2 linked regions of the Pelodiscus sinensis genome follow. The protein of the gene in region 1 purifies or fractionates together with the protein of each later gene. This does not show direct contact. Links are inferred from orthologs where the notes say so. Each region holds a gene or a part of one and is shown on either strand. Other genes may lie near its edges. The genes, in order: PSMC6 and ECPAS.

Region 1 (10,192 bases):
TGTAATTTCAGAGGCTACATACAGGTTATGTTAAGCACTGTGTACACTTAAGGAGGTCAAAAAGTATTTTTCAATAGTGTCCTAAAATTTCTCCTCCCTACATTAAGTTAATAAAGTGCAAGTAATTCTACTCTGGCTGAGATCCTTAATATTCAGTCTAATTATTTAAGACAAAAACATGATATATCATCATCATCTACACACTTATAGCACAGAAAGGCAAACCCTCCCCTATCAGAAAACTATCCATATATAAACCTTTTCTGAACATATTTAAATAGCACATTAGACTTTTTAGACCTTTTAACCCACCTAACAGGCACGACATGAAGTACAAATTTTTCCTCAGAGTAGGTACCTCCATTTAGTAGGTATTTCTGTAATGTAACATTCAGTACCTCTCTCAGCTCCCTGATTTGTTCTGATAACCCTCCAATCTCAGAATAAGAAACATTCCCAGGATCTTCATGAGACATATTGTAAACCAATGGATCCACTTCCCTTGGCAAGTATCTGTAACATTTGAGTATTAATAAAACAGATGTTATCTCTTCATTCTGAACAGACCGTATATTCATCAGTCATTTAAATAAATCTTAGTGCTGGTTGGCAAATTCTTGTTTCCCCTATGAAAAAAAATGGACATTTTCTCTCCAAATCTATAAATCATTTTTGCAATAAAACGTGAAGACTGGAAGTCAGAAACTTTTCAGAAGTTAAACATTTGGGGAGGGTTTCAACAAAATACTCAGAAATGTTGACAATACCAGATATTTCCTACAGAAGTTTCTGTTTTGACTAAAGAGTCATTTCAAGCAAACAAACAAAAATTGACTAGCTGTGGTAAATCGGTAAGATCACGTCGGACGTATCTGCCCATATAATGTATTTGAAAGATTTTTGAAGCACTTTGTTCACACCTACTATCTGCAACATGTTTAGACCAACTCTGTCCTTCATAGAAAAAAAAATAACTTGTTGGCAAAAACTTACCTCATAATAGTTAGTGTAGTCATATCCAGAGCAACTCTTGTCCCTGGCTTCAGCTTACTTTTGTCAAGCTAGTGTTACAAGAGATGTTTCTATTAGAAATTGACTCAAACAGCAAAGTGATGGAATTCTGTATTTCTGCAGTAATTGTTCTTGTTTGGTATGACAGAAAAAGGATTTAGTGCCAGCATGGGTTCAGTTAGTGACTTTCCCCTCTCCCTCTGATACAAGTGAAGATAGCCGATCAAGAGGAATGTAGTGGATTACAACACCCCTGCAATTCGGGCAGGCAGTTTGGTTGATTATGTATTCCTACACCTGTTTTCACCCCTTACACCTTGGGGACACCATCAAGCTCAGCTTAAAATAAGGTGACTCCAGCTATGTATTCTACGTTGCTGAAGTTGAGTACCTTATGACAAGCTGCCGGGTTTAGGGTAGACCTGACTTAAAAAAGCTTGGTTAGTTTAGCCTAGCAAAACAAAGGCTAAGAGGGAAAAGGACTGCTATTTCTACATACATCAAATGGGTAAATATCAGAGAGAGAGAGAGAAGAGCTCTCTCAGCTAAAGGACAACACTGGCAGAAGAACAAATAGGGATGAACTAGCCACGAGTAGATTTAGGCTAGAAATTAGAGGGTTTCTAAACATTAGAGGAATGGGGTTCTGGTATAGCCTTAACAGCTTATACTTAACTTTATAAGAACCAAAAAAAAAACTAAAAGAATCCCATATCATCTCAGGCTGTTTACACTTTGCTTTATTATTCCCATGAATTCATTCCAGCACTCTCGGCATGCCATACCGATCTCTACACTGCAGAGAGCACTACATCTATGTTAGTAGCCAAGCGCAACTTAAAGAATAGTGTACAAACTTGCTGACTTTAAATATGTAACAAAAAATGAATACTTAATATCAGAGCAAGCTATTTAAAAACATCCAAGCAAAGCAGTGTTACCTGACGACGACAGCCAACCACATATCTTGGCCCATTTGTAGCTTTCACAATGACTAAAGAGAGAGAAAATGACAGAGAAAACAAGATAAAGCTTTTTAATCCCCCTGATTGCTGGTACAAAATAAGTAGCAATTATACAATATTTTCATAGTGATGACTAATTAGTAATGCTCCATTTCATTCTTTAAATGTGTCATTTATTTTGCTTATCTTGAAGACCAGAAGTTTAAAAAAGTAAAATATATCAGCGAAGAAACTTACATTTCTCTTCTGTTAACTGTTTAAGAACCTCACCAACAATCTATGAAAAAATGGAAAAAAGTATTATCTGCATCTATGAAAGTATTAGTATATAGCATATTTAACATACATTCCTAATTTGATCTTTGCCTGTCACCTTTACACCCTATTCCTGCTCCACAGGAGCGGCCTACTATTCTATTTCTTTCTTATTGCCCATAAACCAGGAACAGCTGTTAAAAATACACCTAACTCTGTGTACTTACCACTTGTAAAAGACCACACCGTGGTACATTTGCTCTGAGGGTACCATATCCTGTTCATATTCTTCAACTGTGGTAATAATTTGTTAAGCACAGCTCACCTACCACCCAATGCCATCCACAGTTGTGTCATTATGTATAATGCGTACCTGTCCAACACTCTGCAAAGCCTTGAGGTCATTTTCAGATTTTTCATACTGCTTGGTAAGCTCTTTCAGTTGTTCCCTTACTAAAACACAAAAAAAGAAAAGGATTTACTACCCTTTAATCTATTAGAAACCAAGCACCAGGGCTTGTCAATTTGCAGAGAAGATATAACCCTGAAATCAGTTCGAGTTGATACAGGAGAATCAGCGATTGGCTATTCTTGCTAGAAGCAGTCATTCTAGCCCAGAGTGATGACACCCCACCAATCCCAATGGGTTACCCCCCTCTGAAATAACTCTGGCTTGCATTAGACTAGGAGAATGCTAATGGGAAAACAAGATACTTTAATCACTTCTCCATACACATATATCCCTGGCCTAGTGTTAGCTCTGTGGGGCCTACCCTAATAATCATGTAAATCGCATCATGAGCTTCCACAGGTAAAATCCAGTTGCCCACGAAAGCTCAGGACACCATCTCCATGTTTTGTTAGTCTTTAAGGTGCTACCAGACTATTTGTTGTTGTTGTTCTTTAAAGTTTTTCCTGTTACAGACTAACTCAGCTTCCCCTCTGAAACCCTAATAACCAGCCGGGGTAGGGGGCTGGGACTGGGCACGCCTCTTTAGGAGGGGGGATTCCTTAAACAGGGTATTAACCCCCTCCTCTCACACACTGAATCAGGGCAGCGGCCAGACCCCCACCTCCAGGGGGATGCCCCCGCTTCCCTCTCCCCAATGCCACCCTAGGAGGCCCGGCCCCCCCTTCCTTCCTTGCCCCCCCCATTCCACCCTAGGAGGCCCGCCCCCGCTTCCTTCCTTGCCCCCCCATTCCACCCTAGGAGGCCTGGCCCCCCCCTTCCTTCCTTGCCCCCCCCATTCCACCCTAGGAGGCCCGGGCCCCCCCTTCCTTCCTTGCCCCCCCCATTCCGCCCTAGAAGGCCCAGGCCCCCCCTTCCTTCCTTGCCCCCCCATTCCGCCCTAGGAGGCCCAGGCCCCCCCGTTTCCTCGCCCCCCCATTCCGCCCTAGGAGGCCCGGCCCCCCCCCTTTCCTTGCCCCCCCCATTCCGCCCTAGGAGGCCCGGCCCCCCCCGTTTCCTTGCCCCCCCCATTCCGCCCTAGGAGGCCCGGCCCCCCCCGTTTCCTTGCCCCCCCATTCCGCCCTAGGAGGCCCAGGCCCCCCTTCCTTCCTTGCCCCCCCCATTCCGCCCTAGGAGGCCCGCCCCCCCGTTTCCTTGCCCCCCCATTCCGCCCTAGGAGGCCCGGCCCCCCCCGTTTCTTTGCCCCCCCCATTCCGCCCTAGGAGGCCCAGGCCCCCCCGTTTCCTTGCCCCCCCATTCCGCCCTAGGAGGCCCAGGCCCCCCCTTCCGTCCTAGGAGGCCCGGCCCCCCCCGTTTCCTTGCCCCCCCATTCCGCCCTAGGAGGCCCGGCCCCCCCCGTTTCCTTGCCCCCCCCCATTCCGCCCTAGGAGGCCCAGGCCCCCCCCCTCTCCTTGCCCCCCCCATTCCGCCCTAGGAGGCCCAGGCCCCCCCCTCTCCTCGCCCCCCCCCATTCCGCCCTAGGAGGCCCGGTCCCCTCTCCTCGCCCCCCCCCATTCCGCCCTAGGAGGCCCGGTCCCCTCTCCTCGCCCCCCCCCATTCCGCCCTAGGAGGCCCGGTCCCCTCTCCTCGCCCCCCCCCCATTCCGCCCTAGGAGGCCCGGTCCCCTCTCCTCGCCCCCCCCCATTCCGCCCTAGGAGGCCCGGCCCCCCCCGTTTCTTTGCCCCCCCCATTCCGCCCTAGGAGGCCCAGGCCCCCCCGTTTCTTTGCCCCCCCCATTCCGCCCTAGGAGGCCCAGGCCCCCCCTTCCTTCCTCGCCCCCCCCATTCCGCCCTAGGAGGCCCGGCCCCCCCCTTCCTTCCTCGCCCCCCCATTCCGCCCTAGGAGGCCCAGGCCCCCCCTTCCTTCCTCGCCCCCCCCATTCCGCCCTAGGAGGCCCGGCCCCCCCCTTCCTTCCTCGCCCCCCCATTCCGCCCTAGGAAGCCCGGCCCCCCCTCTCCTCGCCCCCCCCATTCCGCCCTAGGAGGCCCGGCCCCCCCTCTCCTCACCCCCCCCATTCCGCCCTAGGAGGCCCGGCCCCCCCTCTCCTCGCCCCCCCCATTCCGCCCTAGGAGGCCCGGCCCCCCCTCTCCTCGCCCCCCCATTCCGCCCTGGGAGGCCCGGCCCCCCCTCTCCTCGCCCCCCCATTCCGCCCTGGGAGGCCCGGCCCCCCCTCTCCTCGCCCCCCCCATTCCGCCCTAGGAGGCCCCCCCGGCCGCGCGGCGCTCACACTCCTTGAGGCGCCCGTCGATCTCCTTGTGCTCCAGCAGCTTCTTGCGATAATCCTGCAGCGCCTTGTCTCGCGGGTCCGCCATGATGAGCAGGCGCCGCTCATAGGGAATGCCGGGAAGGGCCATGGCCGCCGGGGGCCGGGCCGCGCGCCCCGCCTGCCCCGCCCCGCGCGCCGGCCGCGCGCCCCGCCCACAGCGCCCCCTGGCGCCCCGGCGGGGAGCCGCGCCCGCCCGCCCGCCGCCGCCCGCGCGGCCTCCCCGGGTCCTAGTGCCCGTGAGCACCGCGCCAGCAGGGCAGGGCACAGCCAGCCCCGGGAGGGAGGGAGCGATGCCGCGGGGGCGTGGCACTGCTGGGGGGGGGAGGGGGGCCAAAAATGCATTCTCTTGACAAATTGTAAAACACACTCCATGGGCGGTGATGGCTCCAGCAGCCTGGATCTCACACCCTGTGCCCCCTGCTTAGCTCCCCCCCCCCCCCCGGGGAGGGGGTTCGTCTACACCGCAGGGTTTTTGGAGAAGACGCCGTTTGCGCCAGAGATTTTGCACAAAAACGTCTGGCACAAAAGCGCGTCCAGACCTCAAAGCGCAGCCACGTGCCTGCGCACACGCGAGCGGCCACGCTGCATGGACACTCTTGTGCAAGGAAGGTCTTGCACCTGTGCTTTTTCCCGGAGGGGTTTCTTCTTCCTGCGGAGAGTCCACACCTGCCTTTTTGCACAAGAGCTGTGGCACACAAAGGAGTTATTCCTCGTGGGGAGAGGAATAACTGCCCTGGAAAAAGCCCTCTGTTCTGTCGATTTTCTTGCGCAAAAGTGCGCTTGAGGTGTGGACACTCCACAGGGGTGTCCACCTTGGAGTGTAGACATAGCCAGGAGGTGCTTGCAGGCACAAAGTTAAGCTCTGTGTGGTAGACCCCAGTCCTGAAAAGGTTTACACAAGTCACCTAACAAGAGGAGGAAAACTCTGCAAAGAGCCCTTCTCAGGGCTCATCCTTCCCTACTTCCTAGAGAAGTCCGGCTCCTATCTCCCCTCTGTGATAGAGATAAGTAACCTGGACCAGCTTTACTGAACTGAAGTGTAGCTCTTTGGGGGGTCCATGGTGTTAAAATGCAATTGTGTACATGTTATTGTGAGATTGCGCATCGCTTCTCTAAGAGGAGGGGATATGCGGATGTTGTAACTCCCGTGGTTATCAGTTTTTGGAACCCACCCCCCACAGAAGTTTGCAAATACTAGTTCAGACGGGATTCGCATGGGACCAGACCCAGACGGCATTATTAGAGAAACAGCCTGCTTTTAATCCGGGTCTGGGTTTTTTCTTTTGATCCAGCAAACTGAGGGGAGCTCTGCTCAACAGAGGGTCCTGCTCCCTAGGGAAGGGTCGGAAGGACTAACACAGACCAAGAGGAGGAGATTTCTCCTTAGATTGTATGTAGCTTCTTATATATTTTTAATATGTTTTCTCTGCAGTGCTTTTACTTCAAGACTAAAATAGGCTTGCTTAGGTAGCCCAGGGTTGTATACTTCAGAAGTACTGGGAACTACAAATGCGGTGGTTCCTGCCAAGATGCACCTGACCTTTGCCTTCCTAGCAGGAAGTGTCAGCACTGACTGAAGCTGGGAGTGCCAGGCAAACAAGGAGACAGGAGGCTACTGGATTGTCATTCTTCCTGTTCATCGTTTCTTTACAGGCTAAAACCTCCTTGTGACAGTTTGTTTGAGTGGGTGTGGTCTGAGCTGAACATCCTCTGACATACAACACAGATGCAACCCTTCTGCCACGTGGAGCCAGCTGCAGCCAGGGCCAGGTTCAATAGCTAGGGGTTCTTCTCCATCCATTCAACACTGACCTGGCTCAAGCCCCAGCCCAGTAACCTGGGAAATTCACACAACACTTCTGGGCGTCTCTGAGAGGCAATGCTCCCCCATTCACAAGCACAGCGTCTGAGTGAGCGTAGAAAAGAGACTTTTAATAAGAGAGAGGGAAGTAACTTGGGAACACACCACAAACAGGGCTCATAAACAACCACGAGTAACAGTCCCACCCCAAGCAGGTTGGACAGTGTCCTTTTCCTCTCAGGTTCTTAAGTCCAGCAACCTCAATGTCCCCGTCACATGCCCACCCCTTCTCTGCACCCCACTCCAAGTTGCTGCCCTTGGCCAAGCCAGGGCAGACTAGAGTTCAAAGGTGCATCCACAGAGTTTATCTCTCATCCTGAATGGGGGCAGGGGGACAAAGAGGCATCTTACTCTGCTGGCCATTTGCCATCCAGCTGCTTGCCACACCTCACTGTCACCGCCCTGCTGGCTGCTTGCCACGCCTCTCTGTCGCCGCCCTGCTGGCTGCTTGCCACGCCTCTCTGTCGCCGTCCTGCTGGCTGCTTGCCGCACCCCTCTATCGCCGCCCTGCTGGCTGCTTGCCACACCTCTCTGTCGCCGCCCTGCTGGCTGCTTGCCGCACCTCACTGTCACCGCCCTGCTGGCTGCTTGCCGCACCCCTCTATCGCCGCCCTTCTGGCTACCTGCCACACCTCTCTGTCGCCACCTTCCTGGCTGCTTGCCACACCTCTCTGTCACCGCCCTGCTGGCTGCTTGCCACACCTCTCTGTCGCCACCTTGCTGGCTGCTTGCCGCACCCCTCTATCGCCGCCCTGCTGGCTGCTTGCCACACCTCTCTGTCGCCACCTTGCTGGCTGCTTGCCGCACCCCTCTATCGCCGCCCTGCTGGCTGCTTGCCACACCTCTCTGTCGCCACCTTGCTGGCTGCTTGCCGCACCCCTCTATCGCCGCCCTGCTGGCTGCTTGCCACACCTCTCTGTCGCCACCTTGCTGGCTGCTTGCCGCACCCCTCTATCGCCGCCCTGCTGGCTGCTTGCCGCACCTCACTGTCACCGCCCTGCTGGCTGCTTGCCGCACCCCTCTATCGCCGCCCTTCTGGCTACCTGCCACACCTCTCTGTCGCCACCTTGCTGGCTGCTTGCCGCACCCCTCTATCGCCGCCCTGCTGGCTGCTTGCTACACCTCTCTGTCGCTGCCCTGCTGGCTGCTCGTTATATCTCTCCACCTCTGTCCTGCTGGTCTCTCATTGCATCTCTCCACCACTGTCCTGACGGCTGTCAGTCACCACAGGTTGCCATCCACTTTTTGGCTGTGATCTCTGCCCATCAGTCTCAAGTGATTTCAGCTCCCCGTGAATTCACTCTTAGCAAGCAGGGTAGAAGAAACACGACTCCACCACCATTAACATCAGAAAGGGATCTCAGGGGTACCCGTGTTAGTCTGTAACTATTATTTATTTATTTAAAATATTTTTACCTCACCTCTCTGTTTGAAATGTTTGAGGTGGCTTACAAACATAAGAACATAAGAACGGCCGTACTGGGTCAGACCAAAGGTCCATCTAGCCCAGTATCCTGTCTACCGACAGTGGCCAGCACCAGGTGCCCCAGAGAGGGTGGACCGAAGACAATGATCAAGCGATTTGTCTCCTGCCATCCCTCTCCAGCCTCTGACAAACAGAGGCCAAGAACACCATTTTATCCCCTGGCTAATAGCCTTTTATGGACCTAACCTCCATGAAATTATCTAGCTTCTCTTTAAACTCTATTATAGTCCTAGCCTTCACAGCCTCCTCTGGCAAGGAGTTCCACAGGTTGACACCACGCTGTGTGAAGAAGAACTTTCTTTTATTAGTTTTAAACCTGCTCCCCATTAATTTCATTTGGTGTCCTCTAGTTCTTCTATTTAGGGAACTAATAAATAACTTTTCTTTATCGGCCCTCTCCACACCACTCATGATTTTATAGACCTCTATCATATCCCCCCTCAGTCTCCTCTTTTCTAAACTGAAAAGTCCCAGTCGCTTTAACCTCTCTTCATATGGGACCTGTTCCAAACCCCTAATCATTTTAGTTGCCCTTTTCTGAACCCTTTTCAAGGCCAAAATACCTTTTTTGAGGTGAGGAGACCACATCTGTACACAGTATTCAAGATGTGGGCGTACCATAGTTTTATAGAGGGGCAGTAAGATATTCTGGGTCTTATTTTCTATCCCTTTCCTAATAATACCTAGCATCCTATTTGCCTTTTTGACCACCGCTGCACACTGCGTGGAAGTTTTCAGAGAACTGTCCACGATAACTCCAAGATCTCTTTCCTGATTTGTCGTAGCCAAATTAGCCCCCATCATACTGTACGTATAGTTGGGGTTATTTGTCCCGATGTGCATTACTTTACACTTATCCACATTAAATTTCATTTGCCATTTTGTTGCCCAATCACTCAGTTTGGTGAGATCTTCTTGGAGTCCCTCACAGTCTGCTTCTGTCTTCACTATCCTAAACAGTTTTGTATCATCTGCAAACTTTACCACCTCACTGCTTACCCCTTTCTCCAGATCATTTATGAATAAGTTGAAAAGGATTGGTCCCAGGACTGACCCTTGGGGGACACCACTAGTTACCCCTCTCCAATCTGAAAATTTACCATTTATTCCTACCCTTTGTTTCCTGTCTTTTAGCCAGTTCTCAATCCAAGAAAGGACCTTCCCTCTTATCCCATGGCCATGTAATTTACACAAGAGCCTTTGGTGAGGGACCTTGTCAAAGGCTTTCTGAAAATCTAAGTATACTATATCTACTGGATCCCCCTTGTCCGCATGTTTGTTAACCCCTTCAAAGAACTCTAACAGATTAGTAAAACAGGATTTCCCTTTACAGAAACCATGTTGACTTTTGTCCAACAAATTATGTTCTTCTACATGCTTCACAATTTTATTCTTTACTATTGTTTCGACTAATTTGCCCGGTACTGAAGTTAGACTTACCGGTCTGTAATTGCCAGGATCGCCTCTAGAGCAAACTCTCTGTAAGTGGTCTCAATGCCAAGAGATGGTACAGAACAATGCACCCAGCAGGTGTGTGGGTTACCCTTGCCCACCCTGACAAAGTTTTTTTTGAATGTCCAACCTAATATTCAAAGTCAATGGGAGCTCTGAGGGATCAGTGCTTTTGAAAATTAGGCCCCTTTTATCTGGGTGTCTAAGCATGGAGCGACAAAACTAACTCAAGACACCCAAGATTGACAATGCTGGTCTCAATCTTCAGTGCCTTAATTTCCCTTCCTGAAAAGCAAGGGCAATTTTTATTTCTCTTCCCTACTGGGAAGTTGTGAGGTGCTTTGCATCTTCAGAGGGTGAGTGTGGTAGAAAACACGTAGTATCGGTTTTATAATATAATAATTAAATGAATAATCAAACAACTTAGATATTGTAATTTGCATAGAGA
Region 2 (10,522 bases), on another chromosome or scaffold:
GCCCCCCCTTACTCCCAGCCAGCCCCACCCCCTTCCGGCCAGTCTCCCCTCCCCCGATATCCCAAGGCCAGCCTCGTTCCACCCAACCCTGCCCCCCAATGACCAGCCCTGCTTTCCATTGGCCCCCCCCCCATCTCCCCCAGCCAGCCCCGTTGACGCCCCCCCCATTTCCCAGCCAGCACCACTCCCTTCCTGGCCGGTCCCCCACCACCCATGAAGCATGGTTTTTTTGTTTGTTTGTTTGTTTTAATATTATATGATTACCTGGTAACTGCTAGCAGTGATCCAGGTTCTTGGAGTGTTTGGGTTTTTTTTTTTTTGGCTCAACAACTTTGGTACACCCCCCTCCTTTTTTTCCCCCCTTCAACAAAAATTTTTCTGGTGGGGTTTTTTTGGGGGGGGGTCCATATTTTTCTTTCAGCCATCTGGCAACCCCAATTTGGAGTGTGAGAGGGGCTCTCAGCCGAGCTTAGGGCAGGCAGTTAGGTTGTAGGACAGGGTTCAAGTTGCAGGTTCTGGGAGGGTGTTCGCATGCATGAGGGCTCAGGGCTAGGGCAGGAGCTTGAGGTCGAGGCAGTTCATGACTTGGGTTGGGGTTCAGGATGTGGACCTCAGTTGGGCACTGCTTACCTCAGCTGGCTCCTGGTGTAGTGAGGCTAAGGCAGGCTCACCCTTCCCCAGCTCTGCACAGCTCCCAAAAGCAGCCAGCAAACTTGCTCTATCCCTAGTCCTGTTGTGCCCCCACTCTGCTCTGTGGAGACAGGATACAAGGTGGGAGACGGGGGCGCCTTTACTTCAGTGCCCTCCTCTCCCTCTCCTGCACAGCAAGCAGGAGGCTCCTGGGGGAAACAGTTCCAAGGCAAAGGGCAGGAGATGTGCGGCAGTGGGAAGAGGAACAGCTGAAGTGCAGGCACTTGATAGCCACAGGGCCAAACCAGTCAGGATCACCTGACAGAGGCTCCAAGATCTACCAGTAGATCCTAATCTGCTGGTTGGTGACCACTGCTCTACCACAATCTTGAATTACTTTAGGAGAGCACTATTAGGGACCTGGCCACACCACTAGTCAAGTTTATAAAGCGTGATCTTTCACTCTTGGGAAGTATTTTTATGTTTTCATCATACTCCTCCATATCAGAGAAAAGTTTAGATACAGATCTTAAATGTCAAAATTTGGATTTCCATGTTCAGTGTGTCAGGTTTAGTCTCCCTTTAGATTACTACCCAGTCTCTAGATACAACACGAGGGGGGGGGGGAGCCAGTTTCAAAACACTCATAGCTCTAGGCCCAATTTATGGATTTTAAATTAGGATTCAAGCAATCACTGTTTAAGTTGTTCATCTACCAAATCATGAATATCCTCATGGAAAAAGTTTAAGCAAGCACTTTTTTCCACCCCCTCAACAAAAAAGGTAGTAACAGCTCATCTATTTGATTGCTTCTACAGACCAAAGTTTATTACAGCTAAATATCTACAAAACAGGGATAAATTGGATTTCTGGTCTAAAACAAAGTCATGGTTACTCTTACAGGAGGCTCATTATCCTACCAATCAGATCCCTAACAAAATACAATGTGATGTCTAATTTTAGTCTCTCACATCCTTCTTCCTGAGAAGTCTGCCCAGTTTTCCCCTCTCCCGGTACTACTTATGTTTCTTGTTAAAGTTCATCTTTGACTGCACAACTTTTCCATTTATTCATAAGAGGTAGCATTAGAAAAACCACCAGCATCCCTTTTCAAAAAAAAAAAAATACCCACTACCCTCAGGTCAGAAGGCCTGAGTAATTTCACAAAGTGTGAGAGCAAAGGAAACAACAGTGATGTATCATTGACTGTTGAGGAAGAATTTCATGGCTGATGGGGGACCATAGAGTTGGAATAATTTTTCTAGACTACAGAAAATGGTCATGACAATGATTCATCCCAACTCTCATTTGAGTAAGCATGTTAACATTTGTGTCAGACTTGAAAACAAAAAAACAGAATTATTGACAGTAGGGACTCCACTAGTATTTTAGTGTTCCATTGTCTATACCCCTCACCCAACAGTTTATAGAAACTAGAGTTCTCTCCAAAGAGAGGACACAGAAAAGTTACACAGCAAACACCAACGTGTGGTTTAAATATGACAGCTTGCAGCTTGAAAATCCTTAATAGCTTTCTTTCTTCTGCTGAGTTTCTGGTGGTAATTCAATTCCACAACCAAGTCAAGTCCAAAACACCATTTTCCCCAGCCCACACATCAGGCTCATAGTTCCCCCAGCTGGGTTATACATCATCTGAAAACTAGTTATACCTCAGGAGATGCAGCAACAAGAAAACATTCCCTTAACATTTTATACTTCTTCAGAGACAGGTTTATACTTACTGCACCAGAGTCACCAGTAGATGTGAAGGTTAAAAAACCACCCAAAACTGGGTGTCGATTTCTGACCAGCAAATGAGTATTTTTAAACTTACACAACTACATTACTCAAATTCTGACTTCTATCCTCATCAGCACTGAGAACTGCATGGGCCCACAGTGTGCCATGCAATTCTTAATGCGGGATTAGGAACATCATTTGCACAAAAGAAGACTGAAATGGATAAATGTGTTTTCCAATATATTTTATTCTTACATTACGTTTCTACTTTAAATCCAAACAAAACATATCAAGCTCTGGAAGGGGAGAGTTTTCATATTTTTTCCTTATAATGAAAAAATATACAGTGACTGAAGGCTTATCTGTATCTACAGTGTGCTTTCAGCAGAAAATCTGAAGAAGAATATAAGTGACCAGAACTTTATAATACTTTACACATCTGTAGCACTTCTGATCCATGCATCTCTAAGGACTCTACAAACATTAAGCTTCACAATACTCTAGTCCAGCAGTTTTCAAACTTTTGTACTCCTGACCACTTTCACACAACAAACCTCTGAATGTGACTTCCCAGGTCCTATAACTGACAGGTTCTACCTCTCCCCTCCCCTTTTTCTTCTGTTATAAATTCTGGGTTTATGTTATCCCTCTCGAGCTCATCTGATGAAGCGGGGGGTTTTTCCCCCACAAATACTCCTGATATATTTGTTAGTCTCTAAAGCTGCTACAGAACTACTTGCCGTTTTTAAAGTGATTAACATGGCTACCCCCTGAGACCTTACAAACTAAAAAACACTTTTTAAAAAAATGTTTAGCCCTATCATAAATGCTGGTGGCAAAGCAGAGTTCGGGGTGATGCCTGACAGCTCACAATCCCCCAGGTAATACCCCCATGGCTCCTGAGCGCGCCCCCCACACACACACACACACACTTTGAGAACCACTGCTATTGCCTGATAAGGGAGAATAACTAATGACAGATCAGAGATGGAGAACGGAGTCCAGGTGGCCAGGACGGGGCTTGCCCAAGGTCACCCAGCGAGGAGCTGGCGCCCCCCTGCAATCACTGAGCAGGGCAGGCAGAGCTGATCTGCTCTAACCACTGGGCCAGGCTCAGCTGACAGCCTGGGACCGAGGACTACATTTCCCAGCCGGCCTCAGTAGCAGTTCCTGCGGCGGGCCCCACGCCCAGAAACTCTCAGCTCCCCAAGCTGGGCCCAGGCCCCTGGCAGGGACGGGGACACCGGGCGGAGGGGCACTCCAGAGCCGGGGCGCGCAGCCTCAGGCCGGCGCCACCCTCCCCTCGCCCTGCCCCGCGGCTGGGCCGCTCCCCGGCCCCAGCGGGCAGGAAAGCAGAGTCACTGCGGCGCTGCCCGGCCTGTGCCGGGGCTGTTCAGCCCCCGGAGCCGCAGGCTGGGGCTCGTGCCCCCCCCCCCCACACACACAGCGGGGCGGGCGCTCGCCCCCTCAGAGCGCGCTTTCCCTTTCGCACCATGACTGCGCACCGCCGCGGCCTAACGCGGCTCCCCCCGCCGGGGCCCCGGGGCGCAGCGCCCGGACACTGGGGCGAGGAAACCCGCATCCCCCCCTCACAGCCCTTCCCCGCTCCCGCCGCAGCGCCGGCCCGGCCCCAGCGCGGACACGCGGCGGGAGGGGAAGGGGGGGTCCTGTCGGCCAAGAGCCCCCCCGCGCGCAGCCCCACTTACTCAGCTCGTCCTGGGCGGCGGAGGCGGCCGCAGCCATGTTGCCAGCCGCCGAGGGGCGGGGGCGCGCGGCTCCGGAGGCTCCCTTCGCTCAGGGTGGCTCCCAGCCCCGGTCCCTCCCCTCCTCGCCCGGCTCTCTCCCTCCGCCGCCGCCTGGCCCGGGGCGCCCGCCCGCCTGCTCGCCGCGCCCGCCGGCAGCTCCCGCGGAGGGGGAGGGTGCGCGGCTCTCACGCCCTCCCCCAGGCCAACCTCCCTCGCTTCGCTTTAGTTTTATATTTAGAAAGAGCTGAGCCATCGTCCCAGCCCCCCCGCCCGGGCCGCTTTCCCCTCCCCTCCGCCACGCCACCGCCTGAGACACCGGCCGCCCCGAGAGCTCCGCTCGCCGACGGGCGCCAGGCACTAGCCCCGCGGCCGCTCCATGTGCGCAGCGGCCCTGGGCGCCTTCCCTCGCCCTGCCCCCGCACGCGGCCTGCCCCCAGGCCGGGCCACTGACCTGAGTCCAGGCTGACCTCCATGGCTCCCGAGGCACTTCTCTCCACTTGCAAGGGGGTCGGGGTGGTGGAGAGGCTCGGGTCAGCAGCACAGCGACGCCGCTGCCTTTCTCCCCCTATCTGTGGTAGCTGCTTGTAGCAGTCTGGAGGATTTTCTAGCTGGGAAAGGTGTTGCCCGGGACTTGTAGCCAATGCCGACCAGGCACAGATTTAGAGGAAGTGTGAAACACCCTCAGAGGGGTGCTACTTCCTCCCATCTGTCCTCCCAACAGCCACTAGGGTCCTGGCCATACCCTCAAGCTGCTCCAGGAGGGACTTTGTTCCCTTACCTTAGTTTTTCTTTGCAAGCTACTTTAGACTTTTACATGGGAAGTTATGCCCTAATAGCTAATCCTGATTAACTATCCAATCTTTAGGTGCTCATAGATTACCAGTTCTACCTATTTGGTTTTCCCTTTTATATTTTTATACCCTCTGCTCCTTGTTTCCCACACCCTTCCATTTTTTTCCTTCTCCCCTATTTCGTTTGGATCTGCACATCCTAAGCTCACAACTCCAGTCATCTGAAGAAGTGGGCTGTGCCCACAAAACCTCATGATACCATCTCTTGTTAATCTATAAAGTGCTACCAGACCATTTGCTGTTTTTTAAATGTATCTATGTATGAATATTCCTATTCCAGAATAAGAGTGGTTTATTCTGAATTAGCAGCACTTTTATGCTGGAATTAGTGTGTCCACACATGGACTTAATGGGGAATAGTTAAGCAGCTTTAAATTCACATCCTGCCATATTCGATTACTTTTCATGTGTGGACACTCATACTCCAGAATAGGTGTGCCTTATTCTAAATTAGAGCTCAAACGAGTGGATTAAACTATATGGATTTAAAGCATTTCCATTAGACTCCTCCACTCTCTGGATATGTCTACACTGGCATGATTTTCCGGAAATGCTTTTAATGGAAAAGTTTTCCATTAAAAGCATTTTTGGAAAAGTGCGTCGAGATTGGCAGGATGCTTTTCCGGAAAAGCACTTTTTCCAGAAAAGCGTCCGTGGCCAATCTAGACGCGCTTTTCCGCAACAAAGCCCCGATCGTCATTTTCGCAATCGGGGCTTTTTTGCGGAAAACACCACTGTGCTGTCTACGCTGGCCCTTTTCCGGAACAGTTTTCCGGAAAAAGACTTTTGCCCAAAGGGGAGCAGCATAGTTTTTCCGGAAAAGCACTGATGATTTTACATTAGATTATCGGTGCTTTTCCGGAAATTCAAGCAGCCAGTGTAGACAGCTGGCAAGTTTTTCTGGAAAAGCGGCTGATTTTCTGGAATAACTTGCCGGTGTAGAGACAGCCTCAGTGTTTCTAATTTACAAATACTCTTTTAAAGACATTAACAATCCTCATCTAGTGCTTCAACTCTCAATGGGTACCAACATCAAGGTATAATACAAAAATCCACCAAGGAACAACTCTGTCTCCTATCCTCCTGGTACCTATATTTAAAAAAAAAAAAACACCTCTGCATTTGGGAAAGAATAGAAGTTTCATATTTAAAGCCTTTATTTTAGCCATGAGGTTATTCTCACTGAGATATTATCGAACCCTGTTAATAGAAAAGACAAATGTTAATTCTAAGCAACTTTAAACATAAGGTTGAATTGTATAACGGAAAACCCAAAACCTAACAAATATATTAGCACTTCCTTATATACAGGGCTTGACAAACAGCGGCAAAAGTCGCTCGCCAGCCCTGCACTGCGCATGTGCAAGAGCCGCGTTGTGGATGTGCGCACCGCTGGTAAACGGGGCACACAGCTGAAATCTATTCGCCACAGGCGAATAGATTCTATAGTTTGTTGAGCCCTGCTTATATAGAATGTACACACATTCCCTTCCTCCATATCTTTCCATAGTATAATTTACAGAAGACCCTACAGTGCCCAGCTTTTTTATAATAGCTGTAGCTTGTCTGATCCTTGAAAGTTGAGCCGTTTTCCTTAGAGACTGAAGAACAAATGGACTGGAAATATTCTGGCATTGATCCATTACCTATTTGTTCTTTTTTTTAAAATCAGGGTTTCCAGTGTTAGAAGTTGCAGTTTGCTCTATATGGGTATGTCTACACTGCAAAGCTATTTCAGGATACTAGAGGTATCCCAAAATAGCTATCCCATGTCTTCTGAATATGTCCGCTATTTTGAAAAATAGCAGACAAGCTATTTCGCCATCCCTATAAACCTCATTCTACCAGGAGTAAGGAATGGCTCAAATAGCGCTTTATTTCAAAATAGACTCAAAATAAGCTATGAAATTTGCATAGTGCAAATTGCATATCTTATTTCGAGTTTAGGGTACTATGTATATGCACCCTATGAATCCAGATGGAAGGGGAGAGTGATCTCATACCAGGAAGCGTTGCGTGTGTTAGTGATGGTGCATGCACAGTTAGCCTGCTGTCACCAGAAGATGACAAAGACACAGGACACCAAACTGCTTCAAGCCCTAGTCAGAATGGCTACAGCACAGGAGTTCAAACTGAGGGGACTGTGAATTTCACCTAACAACAGTGTTTCCTCCTGCACAAACTGACTAAAGCTGATAAAGAATTGAAGAAGCTAGTTCTGGAAAAATTGGATAATAAGACTGTCAGTGAACTATTTTATTTTTGTAGCAAAAGGTGCAACAAACTGCTTAAGTGAAATGTTATCATCCTGTGGTGAGAGTTGGGTCTATCAAAAATGGGCTGGCAAGAGCTAGTTGTGTTCATGTCAAGAAAAGGATTTAAGAAAATGGGAACAAACAAGCAAGAGAAGGAAAAGTTAATATACAGGCAGTCCCCGAGTTACGCGGATCCGACTTACGTCGGATCCGCAGTTACAAACGGGGCCGTTCCTCTCCCTGGTCTCCAGCAGACCAGGGAGAGGAAGCAAAGCGGCGGAACACGTGGGCAGCGGACAGGGCTGTCCGCTGCCCACGCGCTCCGAGGCTTGGCTCTGCTTTGCCCCCCCCCCCCCGGTCTGCAGACCAGGGGGACGGGGGGTGGGGTGGGGCAAAGCAGAGCCAAGCCGCGGAGCGCGCAGTCAGCTGACAGCTGTCAGCTGGCCGCGTCCTCCGCGGCTTGGCTCTGCTTTGCCCCTCCCCATCCCCCTGGTCTGCAGACCAGGGGGACGGGGGGGCAAAGCAGAGCCAAGCCGCGGAGCACGCGGGCAGCGGACAGCCCAGACGCGTCTGGGCTGTCCGCTGCCCGCGTGTTCCGCCGCTTTGCTCCCCGTCCCCCTGGTCTGCAGACCAGGGGGACGGGGAACAAAGCAGAGCAAAGCCACGGAGCCCGAGGGCAGCAGGACAGCCACGGCGCGTCTGGGCTGTCCCGCTGCCCCTGTGCTCCATGGCTTTGCTCCGGACACCTGTGGTACAGCAGCTGGGGCGCTGCCAGTTGGTCCCATAGCGCCGCTCTGGGCGCTACTGGACCAACCGGGCAGCACCCCAGCTGATCTGCCCCAGGCGTCCTGATTCAGCCACTGCTGGTCAGATTCAGCAGCGGCTGAATCAGGACACCTGGGGCAGAGCAGTTTGGGTGCTGCTGGGTTGATCCAGTAGCGCTGAGGAGCGGCGGTGCTACTGGACCAACCCAGCAGCACCCCAGCTGCTCTGTCCCAGGCGTCCCCAAGTCAGCCGCTGCTGAAACTGACCAGTGGCTGACTACAGGAAGCCCCTGCCCTGGGCTTCCTGGAATCAGCCGCTGATCAGTTTCAGCAGCAGCTGACTTGGGGATGCCTGGGGTTCTTAAGTTGAATCTGTATGTAAGTCAGAACTGGCGTCCAGATTCAGCCGCTGTTGAAACTGATCAGTTTCAGCAGCGGCTGAATCTGGACGCCAGTTCCGACTTACATACAGATTCAACTTAAGAACAAACCTACAGTCCCTATCTTGTACGTAACCCGGGGACTGCCTGTAGAGAGAAATAAATGTAAATGAAAAAAAAAAAAAAAAAAAAAACATGGCAAGACTGCCATTTCAGTAGCATCACAGTTCAAATTAACAAAGAGGCTATTTTTATGATAACTGTGTGACTAGTTCCCAGTTTACTGGAAATGGTCTGATTTTGAGAAAATGCCTCAGCCTATTGTATCAAAACCAAGGGTTAGTCTGTTCCAGTTTAAATTTGCTGGGTGGCAAACCTTTTTGCTCTTATACACCTGGGACTGTAAAGGGCTACAAATCTCACAAGACTAGGTATATATAGGATACAAGGATAAATGTAGGGATAATTTAAAGAGGCTTTATGTTTTAAAGGGAGGGGTGAATTAGTGGAAAGGAATTAGTGAGGCAAAGTCATAAATAAATCAAAAGAGTTCATGCATTACATATTTAGCAGAAATTCAAGAAGATAAAGGGATGTTAACCACATTAATGCTTGGAAGGAGCTGACCATCCTTTGAGGCTGAGGAAGGCATTTTCACTGATCAGGCATTTTTTTTATTATACATCAATACTATTTTTGGATAGCTGGAGGGCCCTGTTCAGATGCCACAAGCTTTATAAAAAGTTTTGAGAGTTCAGAACTGTAAGGAATCAGAAAAGCACATTGAAATGAAAGGATGCCTCATTTTCACTATTAAATGAAATACACAAACCAGCAAATAGAAAATGCCAGGAAAGTTTGCCTAAGTGACTGGATAGTGAAAGCACAAAGAAAGCAGGCCTCAAGGTTGAATTTTTATCGAAGTCAATTAGGTGAGCGCATGCAGAAGAGGTGCTTATTCCCTAACGGAGACTAGAGATATTAAATACTGGTTACCTGAATAGTCAAGTATTTGGGGCCGGTCATTTGACTATTCTATAGTCCCCAGGGGTGAGGCCGGCAGCCAGTGTGCTCCGGCCCCACGCCACTCCATCTGGCTCCTAATACACTTTAAATGCAGAGCCATAGGGGGAGGAGGGGGCAGTAGGTCCTGGACCTGGAAGGAGCCAGGACTGAGCCACGCTGCTGGCCAGCCAGCTAAAAAAATTACTGGCGGAGGGAGGGGGAAAAGAGGGAAACCTGTGTAGTCTATAGCATTAACCTTTAAGCTTTTGCTAATTGGTTAATCAACTACACTACTACATCCATAGTGAAGACTGGAAAAAATAGCAGGGGAAAGAAAACTGATAAGATCCTAGGGAGCTAAGCTATAAAAACAGAAAAAGGAGTGGGGAGGAATTGCAGATGTGTTGGCTGGGTCTGATGTGCATTGCTGCAAATGGTATAATGTCAGGAAAATTGGCAGCCCTATCACTGTTTCCCAGGCCTTTATGGGTTCAGGTCTCTCAGGGCAGTAACCTATATTCCTCTCCTACACCAAGGATTTGGACACACATTGTTATCACCTTAGCAAGTCTGTTTTTAGTTCAGCACTTGCCCTACTGTTCTCTCCCAAGGTTTACCAATATCTAGCCAGCCTTCTCAAAGCAAAGTACCATAAATTAGCATATATAACCCATGCACGTGTATTACCCACACCCATGCACAACCCACGGTTTTTCCTGATTGTGTAAAAAAAGTTTTAGATAACCCGTGCACGTGTATAGCCTGTGGAAAACAAATGGCAGGTACTGTTAATGAACAGCACCTGTAATGAAGTGTTAATGAACTGCAGCTAATGACACTGAGCAGTAAGTATGCTACAAGCCTTATTGCGGGTATATAACCCCTTTGAACCACACCATTTTACCATTTATTTATTCCTTTAGTAGTTTTAACTTGTAATGAACTTTAAAAAAAGTATTGAAAACTTCTTAAAACTTTTTAAACATGCCTAAGCGCAAATCCTACACAGCCGACTTTAAATTGTGAGTTGTGACATATGCAAAGAATAATGGAAACCGAGCAGCAGGGAGAAAATATTCTGTCAACGAAAAGTCTGTTCAGGAGTGGAGAAAGGAAGCAGCAGATTTTGCGAAATTACATCGTAGGAAAAAA

Evidence for each region.
Region 2: the proteins of PSMC6 (region 1) and ECPAS purify together in Homo sapiens (affinity purification with western blotting; 3 studies listed by BioGRID and IntAct, with this or other methods). This does not show direct contact. The link is inferred for Pelodiscus sinensis from reciprocal best matches to the Homo sapiens genes PSMC6 and ECPAS.

Annotation. Positions count from the first base shown.
Region 1 is NC_134714.1:7,698,248-7,708,439, reverse strand, and holds the start of PSMC6 (26S proteasome regulatory subunit 10B), read right to left. Parts: upstream 5,066-10,192; 5' UTR 5,034-5,065; coding exon 4,907-5,033; intron 2,685-4,906; coding exon 2,605-2,684; intron 2,254-2,604; coding exon 2,214-2,253; intron 2,006-2,213; coding exon 1,953-2,005; intron 1,062-1,952; coding exon 994-1,061; intron 514-993; coding exon 399-513; intron 1-398. UniProt on the Homo sapiens protein: Component of the 26S proteasome, a multiprotein complex involved in the ATP-dependent degradation of ubiquitinated proteins.
Region 2 is NC_134716.1:10,163,613-10,174,134, reverse strand, and holds the start of ECPAS (proteasome adapter and scaffold protein ECM29), read right to left. Parts: upstream 4,326-10,522; 5' UTR 4,114-4,325; coding exon 4,077-4,113; intron 752-4,076; exon of another isoform or gene 631-751; intron 1-630. UniProt on the Homo sapiens protein: Adapter/scaffolding protein that binds to the 26S proteasome, motor proteins and other compartment specific proteins. May couple the proteasome to different compartments including endosome, endoplasmic reticulum and centrosome.